Macaca mulatta: one gene and its partner. The protein of the gene in region 1 interacts with the protein of each later gene in a pairwise test. Links are inferred from orthologs where the notes say so. Each region holds a gene or a part of one and is shown in the gene's direction. Other genes may lie near its edges.

Region 1 (6,706 bases):
ATATTGAAAGGCGCTCAACATAAGGAAAAATGTAAATAAATACCTTAATGAGATACCACATTCAGCCAGAATGGCTACAATTAAGAAGAATGACAACAAAAATCCTGTGTTGACAAGGATAAGAGGCACCTAGAACTCTTTCATATTGCTGGCAAAGGCGTAAATTGGTACAATCATTTTGAAAAATTGGCAATGTCTACTATCACTGATCATGTGCATAACCTCCCTACACACCGGCAATTCCTCTCCTAGAAATGGGTGCAAGTGTCTACAAAAAGAAACATGTAAGAATGCTCGCTACAGCTTTGCTAGTAATAGTCCAAAAAATAGCAACGCAAATGCCCACCAACAGTGGAAAGGTAAATTGTGGTATATATATACAACAGAATACTATTCAGCAGTTAAAAGGCTACACACAACATGGATGAATTTCACAAAAATATTGATAAAGTAAAAAAGCCAGACACATACTGTACATACTGTATTATTACATTTAACTGGAATTCAAGAACAGACAAAACTGATCTATGGTGATACAGTCAGAAGAGTGATTATCTCAATATGTAAGGAGGTAATACTGATTGGGAAGGAGCACTAGGCGTGCTAGAAATGTTCCATATCTTGATTTGGGTAGTGGGGACAAGGGTGTATACCTATGCAAAAATTGTTCCCATACTGTATGTCACATCTCATTTAAAAAAAAAAAAAAACTTTTTTAACATGGAAAAAAACTTCAAGTCCAAATGCCACCTTCTCCATTAAAGTTTTGCCAGCTGCAATTAACCTTTTCATCAGGGCCTCCTTAGCATTCTGATGTCGTTTCTTTTATGCCATTTTATCACACTCCATCTTGAATCTCAGTGGAGTCTCCTTATTTCCCTAAATAGATGTTTATCTTCCTGGTGGCAGTGACCATGTCCTTCACCTTTTACCCACTCAGTGCCTGACAAATAACAGGCTGAAAAGATATTTATTGAATTACATGGAAGAAAAAATTGGGTGAGTTCCCAGATGGGTGAAAGAGGGGACAGGCAGAGGAAGGAAGGCCAAGAGAAGGACAGAGGAGGTTTCCAAGGAAACCGTGGCTCACACTGCAATTTTACCTACTTCCTGAAATCACATTAAATGTCACCTTGAGTGGCAAAAAACAAAACACCAAGTCCTACCTAGGCTGAAAATAAATATCACACTCCCTCACTTGAAAGAAATCCACCAAATAAATGCTACCTAATTCTGGGTGTTTCAACACTGGATAGGAAAACTGTTCAAGGAGAATAATTCACATTGCTATGCTGCTAAAAATATCACCTCCTTAGTGTGGTGCAAAGAGTCCAGACTGCAAGTCAGCCGACTTAGGGCTGAATTCTAACTCTGCCCGAACTTGCTGTGATCTGTGGCCAATCCCTTCGCCTCTCTGGGCCTCAATTTCCTCATACGTAACAACGGGGTAGATTAGCAAAGTCCCTTTATGTTTTGATATTCTGAGTATACAATCCATAGCTCTCCCGGTCCAAAGCAGGAATACAGCAAAAACCCCTGAAAAACACGTAAAAGGCGCCTCAGACCAACAAGCACGATTTGAAGAAGTCATTTTGTTATCTTTCACGGTTTAATCAGTGTTTTTGTTTGTTGTTAGCAGCCTTACCATGATTTGCAGAAGATGTCTGAGTTCCATGTAAACAGAAGTTAACTCTCTGCGGGCTGTCATCTTCTTTTGACGGTGAGAAGGGTCTTCCCGCTGGGTTTCAAGTCTCGGGATTCCGAAACCACCAACTCAGCGGGCGGGTTTGTGAATTTGCGCACACTGCGCGGCACACTGGAGTCTAAGTTACAGAGGAACCGAGTGCAGAGGATGCTGGGATTTGTAGTCTCCGGACCTCTTTGTGGTGCGCTGGGATCTGTAGTCCCCCGAGTGCGCCGCTGGAATGCTGGGAAATGTAGTCTCTGTCGCGTAGCACAGTGCAACCAGCTGCCGTCTCGAATGGCTAGTGTGCTCAGCTGCGGGAGCAGGTCCCTAAAGCCTCTGCAGATCCGAAGCCAACACTCCGCTGGGACAAACTCTAGGCAATAACACCAGATGAATATTGTGTCCTATGGGACTTCCCGGGGAGGGCCCTTCCCATTGACGTTAACAGTCCCCCTGCGAAGGCGCAGCGCGCTCCTACTGGCTGGTTGGGATGCCAATCACCAAAGCTGGCTTTCCATTGGTTCCAGGGGGGCACTGCGAGGCTAGGGGGAAGGAGAAGGGATCAGGAGCGGGAGCTGAGGGGAGAGAGAGGCCGGTCCTGGTCTGGCCGCTGCGGCTGCTCGCCCGAGGTCTCCAAGCCGGGCTGCGGCTCCATCCTCGGCTCCTGGGCACCGTCTGCGAGGCTCCGCCGACCAGAGTGAGAAAGCCGCGGGCGGCTAGCGCCGCATCATGTCAGCCAAGGACGAGCGGGCCAGGGAGATCCTGAGGGGCTTCAAACTGTATCCGCCCGGGAGCGGGGCGGGGCCGGGAGGACTTGGGAGGCGGCCGCTCACTGAGGAGACTGGCCGGGGGCGGGGGCCGCGCCAGGTGGGCCCCGCGGAAGAAGGGCTGCGGGAGGGGAGAGGAAAGGAAAAGCGTGCCGTGCACCCGGCGGGACCAGGCGCGAGAAGCGCCCCCAGGGGCGTCCTGAGGGAGGAAGGGGACGTTGACGGGAGCCACAGGGGGTGGCGGGTGGGGACGGAAGAGCTTGGGGTACTGGGCTGCGAGAGGTGCCGGGCGTCGCAAACGCTATCGGAGAGACCGGCTGGGTTCCAATCCCCGGCCGGGACCCAGAGGCCGGGAGGGGGCTGCGGCCCGCAGGGAAGGGCTGAGGGGGCGCGGTGGGCTGATCTTAAAGTCTAGAAGCCTCTTTGGCTATAAGCCTACCCGAGGAGCGGGGAACAGTGACTTGGAGCGGGCGACCTTGTGTGGGACAAATACCAGTGCTTTTAAAACTCTCTCAGGGCCCCCACCGCACCGCACCCCACCCCCGTCTGGTTTCCACAACTTCTCTTCCAAACTTGTGGCTTCTTCCAGGGCTAGAGTAGTTGGGGGAGGTGGGGAAAGAGAAGTCCAAGATCAACCTCGTCTTAACACTCTTGGTCTTCTGAGGCATTGGTCACTGCTTCCCCCTCAGCGCCTCAGTTTCCTTTCCAGCAACACGAGGACCATAGGCTTAGGTGTGGGGTGCCTCGCGCTGGGGCTCCTAGCCGAGGTGTCTTTGCTCGCTCCTGTTGGTGCGGTTAATGCCTAGCTGTGGTGGAGCTGTCCAGCAATAGTGTGATGTCGCTGGGGCCACGGTAGGATAGTGGGGTAGAGAAATCATTGCCTCGGGCCTGTTGTGATGCCGCTCTTGCAGCCTCTCCTTAATGTGGTAAGGAAGCTTTGTGTTTTCGTGGAGTGTGTTAGTCTGTCACCATATGATGCAGATGAAAAAATGCAAACTTGTATATTCAAATTTTCCATTCTCCTGCCGGCTTTAATCTCTGCATACATCCTGTCTGTAATCTATAGTACGGAACGTTCTTAAACTGCTCCCTCAGTGAAAAGGTAGTCACCGCTTTAGGACTCCTCCCTTGGAGGTTTAGTAAAGCACTGTTTTCTTGATATTCTGTTGTGTTTTCACAATGTCCATGTCACCCTTGCAAAATTTAATTGCTTTGCTATAATCAGAAACCAAGTTGGTAATACATTTTAGACCACAGTGCAAAAAGGAAGTTTTGGATGTACAAGTGAGATTTTTCAAGTGAAAATTGATCTAGGCTTTTAAAAAAACCTAAAGGCTGTATCACCTTTGCATACTACCATTCAGGATAAAGTTTCAGTACTTTCATGTAGTGATTTAGTAGCAGCCTCTTTAGAGCTCCATGTGCCTTTCTGTGTTTCTCTCCATAATGGATCATATAGGTATATAGGGATGACTGAAGTGCTGGAAAAGCTATGACATGAATTTTATTTTTCCCTCAAGTAATTTGTATTATTACTTAACATATAACAATGTAATAATATTGTTACTTAACATGCTGTGTAAGCAGTAAACCAGAAACTATGGAGAACTGAGAGATTTCAGAAGCAACGTTTTCATCTGATTGGAAATACCATATTGCTGAAAAGAAGAAATACCTTTTTAATGGCTTTTGAACAAAGCAGAAAAGTTTGAGCTTCTCACCTTCAGTCTTGGCTCTTGAACCTGTTAAGAAAGAGGATAAGAGACAAATACGGAAAAGAGTTTCAGAAAGCAGAATCTGTGTCAGCCCACTAGAAGGAAAAGCGAATCAACCAATTCAGTGATGTTAGTGCATCCAGAAACAGGCTTTCGGGGAAAGCTTGACCTGAGCTGATTAAATCCTGAAGCACCAGGGAAGCAGCCACATCAAAAAGTTAGCATGAGAGCAGTGGCGTGCTCATCCTCTGGTAGCCTTTATTGGGCATTTGTGGAGTAAGAGGGAAAAGAAAAGCAGGAATGTTAAGATATGCTACTACCTTCAGGAAAAAGTAAAATTAATGTTTTAGTAAGAAACTGACTATTGTCTACCTTTTATTGGGTAAATAGATTTTCCGAACTTTCTTTCAGAGTATCTGTTTCTGTAAGAATAGTTTATCACTACAAAAAGAGCACCATTATGTTCTCCCACCAACAGTGTTGATAGTACTCAGTTTTCCACATTGACTAGGTCGGTCTTTTTTGTTTGCCAGTTTAGATAACAAATGATATATTGTTTTAATTGGTATTCTCCTGGGATCCCTACATCCATGAAAAGGTAATGTAGCATAGTGGTTAAGAGCTATACTGGACTATGTCGCTATACTGCCTGCATTGGAATTCCAGCCCTGCACTCCTAGTTGTGTGTCCCTGAGCAACTGCTTTAACCTTGCCTCAATTTTCTTATCTGTAAAATGCAGAAAATAATAGTATACTACCTATCGCATGGGGCTTTGAGAGTAAATGAGTTGATATCTAAAGCATTTAGAAAAGCACCTGATCTACAGTAAGCATTATGCTTTAGCTAGTGTTATTCTTGTTGTTATTAGATAAGTTGCACATCTCTATTTGGCCATTTCTTTTTCTTCTGTAAATTGTTAATTTTGTTTTTGCCCATTTTACTATTAAATTGTTTATTTTTCTTATTTGTAGATGTTCTTTACATATTGTAATATCAATCCTTTGCCTATTATATATTTTGCAAATATTTTCTTTCAATGTATTGTCTCCTTTTTTGTTGAACAGAATTCTAAAATTGTCATTTCAAATTTATTTTATTTGTTTGAGATGAAGTCTCGGTCTGTTGCCCACATTGGAGTGCAGTGGCACAATCTTGGCTCACTGCAACCTCCGCTTCCCAGGTTCAAGCAATTCTCCTGCCTCAGCCTCCTGAGTAGCTGGGATTACAGGCACATGCCACCATGCCCGGCTAATTTTTGTATTTTTAGTAGAGACGGGTTTCACCATGTTGGCAAAGCTGTCCTCAAACTCGTGACCTCGTGATCCGCCTGACCTCTGCTTCCCAAAGTGCTGGGACTATAGGCGTGAGCCACCGTGCCTGGCCTCAAGTTTATTAATATTTGCCGTCTGGCTTTTGCATTTTGTATCTTGTTTAAAAAGATCTTTCTTATCCCAAGATTAACTAAATATCCTATCTTTTCTTCTCTTTTTAATGTTTAGCTCTTTAATCCACCTGGAACGTATTTATACATTTGGTATAGGGTAGATATCTAAGTACTTCTGCTGTTTGAATAGCCAGTAGTTCCAGTACTAAGTACTAAGTCCGTCTTTTCCTCACTGTTTTGAAATGCCATCCTTGTCATATACTAAATTTTCATAAGACGTAGGTTTATTTTTTGATTATTTCTCTTTCATTGATCTATTTGTCTCTTCTTGTGCCTATACACATTTGGTTGAATTATTATAGCTTTATGATGTGATTTAGTACAGTTTACAATAGGATTGGTCTGTGACTAACATAATATGTGTGTTTAAGGTCCCTATAAATATTTATGCCCCTTTTATTCACATAGAAGCTTGCCATATGCCCATAGTAGATAGAAACATGAGGACTTGGCTGGGCATGGTGCTCACACCTGTAATCCCAGCACTTTGGGAGGCCTAGGTGGGAGGATGGCTCAAGGCTAGGAGTTCAAGACCAACCTGGCCAACATAGTGAGACCCCCAACTCTAAAAAAAAAAAAATTTAAAGATACTCCGTAAGAGTGATGCATAAATCAGGCATGGTCTGAGTGAATTCAGTATAAGCCTTTGTATTTGCCATCAGTTGTTTCAAAAACAAAATCTTACAAGATTTTATTCTCATATCACCTTCACCCCATCTCACCCTACCTCTTTCAGAGTATCTGTTTTTGTGAGAAGAGTTTATCACTACAAAAAGAGCACCATTATGATCTCCCACCAACAGTGTTGATAGTACTCAGTTTTCCACGTTGACTAGGTCAATCTTTTTTATTTTTGCCAGTTTGGACAACACATGATACCTTGTTTGAATTTGTATTTTCCTGGATCCCTAGATCCATAAAAGGTAATATAGCATAGTGGTTTAAGAGCTATACTGGACTGTGGCGCTATACTACCTCTCAAGAAATGCAAGGCTCTCATACACATTAAGAACCTTACATTTCTTTCTTGTTTGTTAAAAGCATAACATTTCCTAATTGTAAATTAATGTTATGAATGAAATGTTACTTGGG
Region 2 (5,506 bases), on another chromosome or scaffold:
CATTGGCTGCAAGACAGACCTGCGAACAGACCTGAGTACTCTGATGGAGCTGTCCCACCAGAAGCAGGCGCCCATCTCCTATGAGCAGGTATGTGCATGTGCAAATGCGTGTTGTAGGTTGAAGTGAGGAAGGCTAGAGGCAGACAGCTTGAAATATGGCCCTGGCTCAAACTCTTCCACTATGGCAAGAGACAACTGCTGTAATAATTAGCAAATGAGTCACCTGGAGAGAGGTGGTGGGTACCTGCTTACCCAGATGTATGCTGTCAGTTAGCAGGCGAGTTATTCCTGTGTGTGCCCACATTTCTAAGACTGTATTCTGACCACCTGCATTAGAATCATTAGAGGTGTTCATTAGAATTTCACACACACACAAAAAGAGACCCTGTCTCAACAAAAAAAAAAAAAAAAAAAGGAGGAGGGGCACTGTGCACGGTGGCTCACGCCTGTAATCCCAGCACTTTGGGAGGCCGAGGCCGATGGATCACTTGAGCTCAGGAATTCAGGACTAGCCTGGCCAACATGGCAAAACCCTGTCTCTACTAAAAATACCAAAATTAGCAGGTTGTGGTGGCATGCACCTGTAATCCCAGCTACTCGGGAGGCCGAGGCAGGAGAATTGCTTGAACGTGGGAGATGGAGGTTGCAGTTAGCTGAGAATGTGCCACTGCACTCCAGCCTGGGTGACGGAATGAAAGACTCTGTCTCAAGGAAAAAAAAAAAAAGAGCCAGATGTGGTAGCTCACGCCCATAATCCCAGCACTTTGGGAGACCGAGGCAGGTGAATCACTTGAGGTCAGGAGTTCAAGACCAGCCTGGTCAACATGGTGAAACCCCGTCTCTACAAAAAATACAAAAAATTAGCCAGGGATGGTGGTGCACACTTGTAACAGAGTGAGACTCTGTTTCAAGAAAAAAAAGAAGTGATCTGCCTAGGCTGGAGTGCAGTCACATAATAGTTGTTTATACAGCCTTGGCCTCCCGGACTCAAGTGATCCTCCCTCCTGTTTCCCTAGTAGCTGGGACTATAGGTACGGGCCCCATACCTAGCTAATCTTTAACATTTTTTGTAGAGACAAGGTCTCATTATGTTTCCCAGGTTGTTCTTGAACTCCTGACATCAAGTGATTCTCCCACCTTGGCCTCCCAAAGTGCTGGGATTACAGGTGTGAGTCACCACACCTGGCCTGGAATCTGCATTTTTGATAAGACCCCTGGATAATTTCTTATGTGCATGAGAGCATAGGGTTGGGGGATGGAGTTTCGCTCTTGTCACCCAGGCTGGAGTGTAGTGGTGCGATCTCAGCTCACTGCAACCTTTGCCTCCTGGGTTCAAGCGATTCTCCTGCCTCAGCCTCCCAAGTAGCTGGGATTACAGGTGTCTGCCAACACACCCGGCTAATTTTTGTTATTTTTAGTAGAGATGGGGTTTCACCATGTTGGCCAGGCTGGTCTCGAACTCCTGACCTCAGGTGATCCACCTGCCTTGGCCTCCACTGCACCTGACCTGGGGAGCTCTTAAGAATACTAATGCTGGCTGGGTGTGGTGGCTCACGCCTATAATCCCAGCACTTTGGGAGGCTGAGGCGGGTGGATAACAAGGTCAGGAGATCGAGACCATCCTGTTTAACATGGTGAAACCCTGTCTCTACCAAAAATACAAAAAATTAGCCGGGCGTGTTGGCGGGCGCCTGTAGTCCTGGCTACTCAGGAGGCTGAGACGTGAGAATGGCGTGAACCCAGGAGGTGGAGCTTGTAGTGAGCTGAGATTGTGCCACTGCACTTCAGCCTGGGCACAGAGCAAGACTCTGTCTCAAAAAAGAAAAAAGAAAAAGAATACTAATGCCTTGGCTCTATACCCAGAATTTTTTTTTCCTTTTCCTTTTTTTTTTTTTTTTCTCCCAGAGACAGGGTCTTACTCTGTCACCCAGAATGAAGTGCAGTGGTATGATCCGAGCTCACTGCAGGGTAGAACTCCTGGTCTCAAGGGATCCTCCCTAGTATTTGAGACTATAGTTTTGTGCCCACTTCCAGCGAATGTTTAAACATTTTAAAAAAGTTTTTATTATTTTATTATTTTTATTTTTGAGATTTATTTTTGTAACCCCAAAGTGCTGGGATTACGGGTATGAGCCACCGCGCCTGGCCGCCTAGGCTGGTCTTGAACTCCTGGCCTCCTCAAGTGATCCTCCTACCACAGCCTCCTGAGTAGTTGGGATTAGAGGCACTAGCCACTGCCCCAGCTATCCCCAGGGATTCTGATTTAGTTTGGCATCAATATAGTTTCAAGAGTATTCCAGGTGATTTATAATGTGCAGTCACACATCGTCTTAAGAAAAAGAGGCATCATCAGACAGGGTGTATGCCAAAAAAAAAAAAAAAAAAGACAAGACAATCGAATAATCGGCAGAGGGTGGTATTTGGAGATCGGCAGCTGGGTCCCCTCTGGAGTGGCCCTGGGGAGTGACACACAAGAGGCAGCGTCTCAGAGCCATTGTGGCCCACTGCATTAATGCCCTCACCCCCTCCTGCAGGGCTGTGCAATAGCCAAGCAGCTGGGTGCAGAAATCTACCTGGAAGGTTCGGCTTTCACCTCAGAAAAGAGCATCCACAGCATCTTTCGGATGGCTTCCATGGTGTGTCTGAACAAGCCTAGCCCACTACCCCAGAAGAGCCCTGTCCGAAGCCTCTCCAAACGACTGCTCCACCTCCCCAGTCGCTCTGAACTCATCTCTTCTACCTTCAAGAAGGAAAAGGCCAAAAGCTGTTCCATTATGTGAAGTGGAAATTGGAGGGGGGAGACAACCCCCTACTTCCTCCCTTGGGGTGCAGAGGCACGGGGAGAGGGAGGATGAGACAATTTAGGACACTGGACATGAGTTTTTCAGATGGCCACGGTGAGGGCTTGGAAGGAGACAGGAATGGGGCGAGGAAGGAGCCAGGCCCGGCATGAGGACCTGATGCTGAGATAGAACCATCATACCCCAAGCTAGGCACTAGGTTGTGGAGGGGGCGGCTACCCCAGTGCCCCCCGGCTCCAGAGGAAGGAAAGCTGTGGGGGACGGGGGGCATGCTGGCCTCCTGGGCTTGGAGGCCTATAGCAGCCTCACCTTCAGCATCATGCCTCTTCCACACAGCGTTTCCATGCAGGCCAGGGGATGGGAGGGGTCCCAGAGCCCTTCCCTTCCCCTCTAAGGAGGCAGCAGTTGAACAGAGTGGGGAAGCCGAGTGGCAGCTCCCTTGGGGGTTTAGCCCAGGTGCTTCGTAAATGCAATCGGAAGTGCAGGAGCTGGTCAGAGCCAATGAGAAGGAAACCTCATCTTTGCATAGCCCATGCCTCATGGAGAGGTGACATCATACATTCACATGCTTCTCACCTAAGTCCCCAGGGTCCAAGGGAGAAGCCCCAGACCCCCTTCTCTTGCAGAGTGTGGGGGTGGTGGTGCTGCAGGGGCAGGGCTGGGTGGGGGTCACCAGACTTTTTCTGCCCTTAGGGCAGTACAGCTGGCATTTGTTTTATAGACTCTTGTCTTTGGAATTGGGGGGAGGGGGGAGTGTTTCAATCTGTTATATGTTCTGTGTTTAATGAAGAAAATCTATTTATTAATGAAAAATATAATACATATAAAGAGTTTGGCTCTGCATTTTTTTCTGTTTTCTTTAGTTGTTACAATCGGTATTTTTTTGTGTGTGTCTTTTTTTTTTTTTTTTTTTTTCTCCTTTTCGTGGAGCACGGGGTCTCCCTATATCGCTCAGGCAGGTCTCGAACTCCTGGGCTCAAGCTATTCTCACATCTCTGCCTCCGTAAGAGCTGGGATTACGGGCATGAGCCACTGTGCTGAGCCCTTTGATTGATGATAATGAGAGAAAAGCTGTCCTGGGGCCCTTTCTGTGGGTTGCAGAAGGGCTGCCTCTACCATTCCCCAGCTCCTCCAAGAAGGAGCTTCTCTCCTCCCCCATCCCCCTACCCCAGCCCCGCCCAAGACCTGCTAAACCAAGGAAGGGTTCCTTAGCCCTAGAGCAGGGGTACAGGGGTTCTCAACCCTGGAACTATTGACATTTTGAACTGGATAATGCTTTGTTGTGAGGGACTGTCCTATGCAGCCCAAGATGTTTAGCAGTGTCCCTGACATCTGGTGGACGCTAGAAGACAGCACCCCACTCTCCAGCTATCACACCCAAAAATGTCTCCAGACATTGCTAAATGACCCCTGTGGAAAAATTCTGGTTGAGAACCACTGCCCTGGAGAGTATAGAGGAGAGAAAAAGGTTTGATGAAATAATCAGTAGAGAATCCAAACTGCTGAGATCCCACTCCACATAGGTGGACAGACTAAGCCAAAGCTGGGGGAGGCTCCTGGGATTCTGGTTTCCTCTGAGTTCGAGGAGAGGTGACATTGCCTTCATGACCTTCCAATTCCGATGCCTACTGATGGCAGCTCAGGGACCTTAACTCTTCCTTTCTCAGTGACTTATAGCTCTTGTTTTCCAAGTGCCATAGTGTAGTGCTAGTGCTAGAAATAAAGTTAACATGTACTAGGTCGGGCGCAGTGGCTCATGCCCATAATCCCAGCACTTTGGAAGGGTGAGGCCGGTGGATCACAAGGTCAGGAGATCGAGACCATCCTGGCTAACACGGTGAAACCCCATCTCTACTAAAATACAAAAAATTAGCTGGGCATGGTGGCATGTGCCTGTAAGCTGAGGCAGGAGAATTGCTTAAACCCAGAAGGCAAAGTGCAGTGAGCTGAGATGGCACCACTGCACTCCAGCCTGGGCAAAAGAGGGAGACTCTGTCTCTAAATAAATAAATAAAGTTAGCATGTACTTAATGAGTGTTCAGCACTGTGCACTGTGTTGAGGGCTTTATATGATCACGTTTAGCCTCATAAATGATAAGAGCTAACATTTGTTCAATGTTTACTATGGGTCGGGGGCATTTATGAGATTTTAATTTTTTTTGGAGACAGGGTCTCACTCTGTCGCCCATGCTGGAGTACAGTGGCATGACTGACTACTGCTCACTGCAACCTCACCCTCCTGGTTCAACTGATCCTCCTATCTCACCCTCCTGGGTAGCTAGGACTACAGGAGTACCACAGTAGTCTATTTTTTGTAGAGATGGGGTTTCACCATGTTGTCCAGGCTGTTCTCAAACTTCTGGGCTCAAGTGATCCTCCTGCCTCGGCCTCCCAAAGTGCTGGGATTACAGGCATAAGCCACGGTGCCCGGCCCCACTTATGAGTTCTTTCTACGTTATTTATTCCTGTGATAACCCTACGAGCCTATGAGGTGCTATTTTTTTTTTTTTTGGATGGAGTTTCACCCTGGCTGGAGTGCAATGGCGTGATCTTGGCTCACCACAACCTCTGCCTCCTGGGTTCAAGTGATTCTCCTGCCTCAGCCTCCCAAGTAGCTGGGACTACAGGCATGTACCACCATGCCTGGCTAATTCTTTTTTCTTTTTTCTTTTTCTTTTTTTTTTTTTTTTTAGTAGAGATGAGGT

What was found.
Region 2: the proteins of PDE6D (region 1) and RND1 interact in a two-hybrid assay, tested with the Homo sapiens proteins (2 studies listed by BioGRID). The link is inferred for Macaca mulatta from reciprocal best matches to the Homo sapiens genes PDE6D and RND1.

Annotation. Positions count from the first base shown.
Region 1 is NC_133417.1:137,044,157-137,050,862, reverse strand, and holds the start of PDE6D (retinal rod rhodopsin-sensitive cGMP 3',5'-cyclic phosphodiesterase subunit delta), read left to right. Parts: upstream 1-2,221; 5' UTR 2,222-2,416; coding exon 2,417-2,466; intron 2,467-6,706. UniProt on the Homo sapiens protein: Promotes the release of prenylated target proteins from cellular membranes. Modulates the activity of prenylated or palmitoylated Ras family members by regulating their subcellular location.
Region 2 is NC_133416.1:56,014,446-56,019,951, reverse strand, and holds the end of RND1 (rho-related GTP-binding protein Rho6), read left to right. Parts: coding exon 1-88; intron 89-2,534; coding exon 2,535-2,780; 3' UTR 2,781-3,629; downstream 3,630-5,506. UniProt on the Homo sapiens protein: Lacks intrinsic GTPase activity. Has a low affinity for GDP, and constitutively binds GTP. Controls rearrangements of the actin cytoskeleton. Induces the Rac-dependent neuritic process formation in part by disruption of the cortical actin filaments.